Linked DNA regions of Cricetulus griseus. The protein of the gene in region 1 interacts with the protein of each later gene in a pairwise test. Links are inferred from orthologs where the notes say so. Each region holds a gene or a part of one and is shown on either strand. Other genes may lie near its edges. The genes, in order: protein NPAT and Hinfp.

The links.
Region 2: the proteins of protein NPAT (region 1) and Hinfp interact in a two-hybrid assay, tested with the Homo sapiens proteins (2 studies listed by BioGRID). The link is inferred for Cricetulus griseus from reciprocal best matches to the Homo sapiens genes NPAT and HINFP.

The regions. Positions count from the first base shown.
Region 1 is NC_048597.1:165,283,157-165,286,979, forward strand, and holds part of protein NPAT, read left to right. Parts: coding exon 1-718; intron 719-3,823. UniProt on the Homo sapiens protein: Required for progression through the G1 and S phases of the cell cycle and for S phase entry. Activates transcription of the histone H2A, histone H2B, histone H3 and histone H4 genes in conjunction with MIZF.
Region 2 is NC_048597.1:155,984,486-155,988,158, reverse strand, and holds the end of Hinfp (histone H4 transcription factor), read left to right. Parts: intron 1-48; coding exon 49-169; intron 170-253; coding exon 254-392; intron 393-468; coding exon 469-593; intron 594-1,733; coding exon 1,734-2,145; 3' UTR 2,146-3,142; downstream 3,143-3,673. UniProt on the Homo sapiens protein: Transcriptional repressor that binds to the consensus sequence 5'-CGGACGTT-3' and to the RB1 promoter. Transcriptional activator that promotes histone H4 gene transcription at the G1/S phase transition in conjunction with NPAT.

The DNA.
Region 1 (3,823 bases):
CTTGCACTGGTTCCCCAAGAGGGTAACCCTATGAAAAATAATCATTCGCTGCCTTCAGAATCTGGTGGTTCAGTGGGAGGTTCTCTTGAGACCCAAAATATTGATGGTAAACCTAGCAAAGACTCAGTGGATGTAGATGCATCAAGTATTGTCTCTCTCAAAATTATCATTAGTGATGATCCATTTGTTTCCTCAGATGCAGAGCTCAGCAGCGCTGTATCTAGTATCGGTGGAGAAAACTTGCCAACGATAATTCTGTCTTCTAAATCTCCCGCCAAAAATGCAGAATTTGTTACATGCCTGTCTTCAGAAGAAACTGCGAGTGCTGTTGTATCTGTTGAAGTAGGGGATTCTGGCTCAATGGAGCAGAACCTTTTAGTACTCAAACCTGAGGAACCAGTAGTAAACAACCCTCAGAATGAAGATAGCATTGCATTTTCAGCCAGTGTTGCACCATGTGTTCCTAAGGATGGAGGATACATACAGTTGATGCCTGCCACAAGCACAGCCTTTGGCAATTCAAGTAACATTTTGATAGCTACCTGTGTGACTGATCCAACAACCTTGGGACCAACTGTCAGTCAATCTAATGTAGTGGTATTGCCTGGGAATTCTGCACCTATGACTGCACAGCCTCCTCCACAGCAATTACAGACACCACCAAAGTCTAACAGTGTATTTACTGTCAACCAAGCTGTGTCGCCAAACTTTTCACAAGGTAACTCTAAGAGCATATTGGAGGTGAGCTGGGGATATAGTTCATTGGAAAAGCACTTGTATAACATGTACAAGGCTGTGGACTCTATCTCCACCACTGAATGAAAAGAGATGCATGTATGTATGTGTGTATAATTTATATGTGTGTGTGCACACATATTTTGGAGCTTCTCTGGATTGCAATCTTAATTTTCTTGTGTGAAGTCACTGACTAGGTAATAATATAGATAGTTCCTATGACAAAATACTATACAAATAATTGCTTATGCATCTTTCTTGCTATCCAGTTCAGCCAGATTTTGTTTAAATCTGGTAGGCTGTAGCTTTATTTTTTTTTTTCTTTGCGAGTTTTTAATGTACAACACTAAGCTGTAAAAAAGAAAAAGCCTAATTCATTGCATACCTATATATATGCTTCAACTCGATCTAGCAGGGTATTTCTTTATTTTTACTTTAATCATGGTTCTTTTGCAGGATGGAGTTCAAGACAGGGTTTCTCTGTGTAGCCCTGGCTGTCCTGGAACTTTCTGTATAGATCAGGCTGGCCTCAAACTCAGAGATCCACTTGTTTGTCTCTGTCTCCCCAAGTACTGGGATTAAAGGCATGTGCTGCCACCTCCTGGCTCTAGTTTAGAGAGACTTTCAAGAAAACTTAAATTCTATAAAACCCATTCTAATTACTCATGTTCTGGTGCTATTTAGAAATGATTCAAGTTGGGGCTGGAGAGAGAGCTCAGTGGTTAAGAGCACTGGCTGCTCTTCTAGGGGACCAGGGTTCAGTTCCCAGCATCCACATGGCAGCTCACAGCTGTCCATAACTCCAGTTCCAGAGGATCTGACACCTTCACACCAATGCACATGAATAAAATTAAATAAATTTTTAAAAAGAGAGAAAAATAATTCAAGTCTTTAGAGACTTCCCCAAGGGCTCTTGTCTTCATTGTATGTTGCTTTACATACAGTTAACAATCGGCAAAATTATCATAGCAATCAAAGAATTCACACATATTCACCTACATTCCCATTGTACTGATATATAGACAATGAAATCTGATGAAATATTATCAACTAAGCATTAAATTTGGTGAATCTATTTCAAATGATGGAAAGGCCAGAATTGCTGAAGAATATGAAGCTTGCATTAAAACCTAGAGAAAAGAGGTAAGATTTGAAGCCAAGGGAAGTAGAATAAGTATTCCTGGATACTTGGCAGGTTTATGTGAAAATAAGATCTTACAGGGATAGTTAGCCTTTTAGGTAAAGGTGCATTTACTACCAGGACTAAGTTACTATAGCTTTTCTTGTGGTTGACTCCTAAGGACCATGTGGTCACTCTAATTTTCCCTAGGTAGATTAATCTGGTTACAAAAGTATGTTCTTTTTGCCCAGTACCATTAAGATATAATACATTGAGTAAATGGTTAAGGGCTATAAGTACTCTCTTGGAATCCAAGTTTTCTTCTATAAGTTCAAACAGAACAGTCACTACTCAGTTCCTAATTAGTTTCAGTCTTTGTTAGAATAATCAGTGTGTAATAGGATCTTCTAGCCAGAGAGTCTTGAGCTTAGGATAATATCACTAAATGCCCTACATCTTAATATTTAGATTTGCTTTGTTTTGAATTCTTAACTTTTATTACTATACTTGATCAAAAAAAAAATTGGGGGGGGGTGGAGATTTTCGAGGCAGGGTTTCTCTGTGTAGAACCCCTTTGGAGCCTGTCCTGGAACTAGCTCTTGTGGTTACTATTTTTGTGATGAAAACACCATTACCAAAAGCAACTTTGGTGGGGTAAAGGGTTTATTTCACTTACAGTTCCATATAGTAGTTCATCATCAAAAGCAATGAGGGCTGAAACTCAAGGCAGGGACCTGGCGTCAGGAATTGATGCAGAGGACATAGAGGGGTGTTGCTTACTAGTGACCCCCACCCTGGCTTGCTTATCTTGACTTGCTCAGTCTGCTCAGGAATGGCACCACCCACAATGGGTTGGACCGTCCCACATCAGTTACTAACAAAATGCCTACAGGCTTGCCAATCTTAAAGAGGCAGTTTCTCAATTGAGGTTCTGTCCTTTCAGATAACTAGCTTGTGTCAAGTTGACATACAACTAGTCCGCACAATAGACCCATTATCACCTTGACACACAAACACATCACTGTTAAGCCATAACCTTTCTTTTCTTATACTTCCCAAAGATCACACATCAACATTACAATATAATCATTCCAAAATTTTAAAGTCCCATAGTCTTTAAAAATAGATTCTCTTAGGGTCGGAGAAATGGCTCAGTGGTTAAGAACACTAGCTGTTCTACCAGAGGGACCCAGGTTCAATTCCCAGCACCCACATGGCAACTCCCAACTGTCTGTAACTCCAGTTCTAGGGGCTATGACACCCTCGTGAATATATATACAGGCAAAACACCAATACACATAAGTTTTTTAAAAAATAATAATAATTCATTCTCTTTAAAATAGGCAATCTTTTAAAATCTGGACTTTTAAAATTCAGTGTTTGAATTGTATGCTCCTATCAAATCAAAAAATAGTTACTTCAGGAGGGAAGAACCAGGGCGTAGTCATAATCTGAACAAAGCAAAACCAAACTTACAATATTAATCATTCAATGTCCAGTGTCGGAGATTCACTCACAATCTTCTGGGCTCCTCCAAAGTGACCCAAAAGGCTTAGGTCTCTTCTCAGGCTCTGCCCTCTGCAGCACACGTAGCTTGTCTTCTAGACTATGGCTGGCTCCACTCCACCACTGCTGCTATTCTGAGTGGTCATCCTATATTGTTGGCATCTCCAAAACTGCTGGGGTCCCTTGCTGCAACTGAGCTGCACTTTCAATGATAGCCTCTCCTGGGCTTCTTCAGGGACTCCAGTCTTGCCATACAGTGCCAAGCCTCGGTTGCTCTCCATGACCCCTTCATGCCTTCAAAACCAGTACCAGCTGGGTGACTCTTAGACTACCAACATTGGCAACTAGTATGAGGTACAACCTTGGCTGCTTCTGGAATACAGCTTCCGTGTGCTGACCCCAAGGAAATCCTTCCCAGAAGACTTCACCTCAATGATGCTAGTCTCTTAGTCACAGCTGATT
Region 2 (3,673 bases), about 9.3 Mb from region 1:
TCGAGGTTGTGTGAGTCCACAGATGATAGCTTCTTCTCTGCTCCTCAGTGAATCACTATAAATGCCCTTTGTGTGACATGACCTGCCCACTGCCTTCCTCCCTCCGAAATCACATGCGCTTTCGACACAGTGAGGACCGGCCCTTTAAATGTGACTGTTGTGACTACAGGTAAGCGAACCCAGGGGTCAAAATACAGGGCTCAAGTTTCAGGGTTCCCTGTGCTCTTCAACCCCTCCTGATTTCTCCTGGCAGTTGCAAGAATCTGATTGACCTCCGGAAGCACCTGGACACCCACAGCAAGGAGTCAGCCTACAGGTGTGACTTTGAGAACTGCAGTTTCAGTGCCCGATCTCTTAGCTCTATCAAGTCCCATCACCGCAAAGTGCATGAAGTAAGTGGCCGGTGGGCGGGGTTCTCGGGAGTGTGAGTGAAAAACTGACCTCATTGCCTTCTCCCTTCCTCATCAGGGAGACTCAGAGCCAAGGTACAAATGTCATGTCTGTGACAAATGCTTCACACGTGGCAACAACCTCACTGTGCACCTTCGCAAGAAGCACCAGTTCAAGTGGCCGTCAGGACACCCTCGTTTTCGGTGTGTATAAATCTTTCCCTCCAGATTTATACCTTGTTTTTGTTTATTACTGTGTGTATATGGGGGTGGGGCTGCCAGTCCTTTAGAGGTTGAGACACAACTTGTAGAGTTGTTTCTTTCCTCTGTTGTGTGGATTCCAGATATTGAACTCAGGTCATCAGGCATGCATGGCAAGCATTTTACACTCTGAGCCATGACAGACTTTTTAACAAGGAAAAAAAGAACCCAACTTTGAACTTTATGGTACTTTGATGCTACCATCTATGACTAAGCTATTAATCTGTGTATTTTTACATGGTCTTATCTTACCGGAGAAAGAGTGTGGACCTGTTAATCCTTTCATGTCAAACATGACTGACTCTGCCTACATTTCCCAGAATCCTCCTCCTCTCCTAGTCCCACCTATCTTGCTTCCCTGTTGGCCAACAGTATTTTATTCATCAACCAATAAGATAAACATATACAGAAGGACAACTCCATCAGAGCAGAGGTTTTTTTTGTTTTGTTTTGTTTTGTTTGTTTGTTTTTGTTGTTCTTGTTCTGGAACATTGTTTGTAGACCAGGGTGGCCTCAGACTCACTGAGATCTGCCTACCTCTGTCTCCTGAGTTCTTAGATTAAAGGTGTGTGCCACCATGCCTGGCTCTTATTTGTTTTTTGAGACAGGATCCCTGGCTGGCCTAAAGCTTGCTATGGAGACCAGGCTGGTCTTGAACTCATAGAGATCTACCTGTCTCTGCCTCCAGTGAGATTACAGATATGTGCCACCATGCAAGGCTGTGGTTTTTCCAGTGAAGCTTGGTTTCAGATTCAACAAGTAATGCCAAAAGTACAGCAGCCAGAGCAATAATTAAAAGCTAAGGGTCCTGACTTTCAGCCCCCTGACCTTCTCATAAACTTTGACACTTTGGCCTCTTACAGAGTCAACATCAGTCTCTATTGGGTTGGGCTTCTCCATTAATTTTTCCATTTTGAGTCCTCTCTTCTGACCTTTCTTCTATGTATGCCATTAAAAACCTTTTCTTAAGCTTCAGTCCTGTCACAGAGAGTCCTAAGCTGTCTTCCAGCTAGCATATTTATATCTTCACCCTCTGTGTCCAGGCCATTTCTTCATCCTCTGCTGGTCTGCTGCCTTCTCCAGGTACAAGGAGCATGAAGATGGCTACATGCGACTACAGCTAGTTCGCTATGAGAGTGTGGAGCTCACACAGCAGCTGCTGCAGCAGCTACAGGAAGGATCAGATCCAGGAGTAGCACTGAATGAAGGCAGCCTGCAGGGCATCGTTCTAGAAACAGTGCTGGGAGGGCCAGGACCTGAGGAAGAGATGGAAGAGGAAGACAGGGTTGAGGGAACAGCCATCTCGGCTTCTCAGGACAACCCCAGTTCTGCCATCCATATGGTCAACCAGACAGTCAGCCAAGGCCAGCGAGAAATGGTCTACTATGTGCTATCTGAAGCCCCAGGAGAGCCCCCACCAGTCTCTGAACTATCCTCAAGAGAGATGGAAAAACTTCAAGGAATGCCTGAGAAGCCAGAGATCCAGATGGTTTGAGGCTGCAGAGCCTGACCACTTCTCCAGATCTTGGAGTTTGAGCCAGGCAGGTAGCAGCTCCCCCAGGTGGGCAGACTTTGATTTTGGATGCCTTTAGAAGTGGTGCTGAGAACAGTATGTTCCCCTGTGACTCAGGTGGCATCGGTCTATAGACTGTGAGTAACCCCCCCACCACTAATGTTCTTTGTGGGGAACCTGAGGAGGTGGATTCATTGAAGAAATCCTACATGTATGTTCTCATTAGAGGAAATGTTACCAGGTTTAAATATACTCCCTTGGCATGCTAGACAGAGTAAATGTTTAGTTTAGTCTACATTCATTCCTGTTTTTAGGGGCCCATTGGCCCAGGGATGATGAGTGGCTGTTCCTTATGAGAGCTGTCTCCTCACTATAAGTTAAGCATTGAGAACCAGGTGCCATTTCTCTCAAGGTTTCCTTTTACATTCCAGGGACACTTGTGGTTATCTTCAGGGATAGGATTGGAGACACTGTGTATGTATGACAGTTGTTTTTTGGTAATAAAGCACTTGGGCTGTTACTTATTTATCAAGTTTTGTGACAGTTAACTAGGTAACAAAGAGAAACAGCTGTCTAGAAGTGGAGCTAAATCATTAGGCTTACCCCTTTCATGACCAGGGTGGTTTCTTTAAGTGTCATGTACTCATTTACTAGAGTTTGTCCATTGCTTCCTAAGCATCTACCAGCTTTGTGGAAGGAGGCCCCAAGTACTTGTCCATTAGTGACTGAGCAGTGTTACAGAATGGGTATGAATGGCACCAGGACTGCACCATCAACTCTTAATTAGAACCCCATACCTCTAGGGTGGGTTGGGGTTCTGGGACTGCAAAGGAATCTGAAGTAGAGTTAGGTTGGGTGGTCACCCAGAGAATGCCTAGTACTCAAGGGACAGGAGTCAAGTTAGAAAATTGTGTCTATACATTTTCCTAGAGAGTGGATCTATTTTCATTGAATTAAAAAAATTCTTATGTATACTATACATATATGTTTGTTTACTTTTGTTTTATGTGTATGAGTGTTTGTCTACATGAATGTAAGTATACCATAGGCTTGCCCATGGAGGTCAAAAGAGGTGACTGGTCCTCTGGAACTGAAGTTACAGACAGCCGTGAACTACCATGTGGGTGCTAGGAACTGAATCGGAGTCTTTGTAAGAGCAATGCATGATCTTAACTGCTTAGCCATCTCTCTAGCCACTTTCATTGGATTCTTAAAGAAGTTGAAACTCCTTAAAATAATCTTTTTTTTTTTTTTTTTTTCGAGACAGGGTTTCTCTGTGTAGCTTTGGAGCCTATCCTGGCACTTGCTCTGGAGACCAGGCTGGCCTTGAACTCACAGAGATCCGCCTGCCTCTGCCTCCTGAGTGCTGGGATTAAAGGCGTGAGCCACCAACGCCCGGCGAGAAACCCTGTCTTAAACAAACAAACAAATGACTATGTAGTGTATATGTGAGCATGTGTTTGTGTCTGCAGGCACACGGTCTGCCTTGTGTGAGCATGTTGTGTGTGGA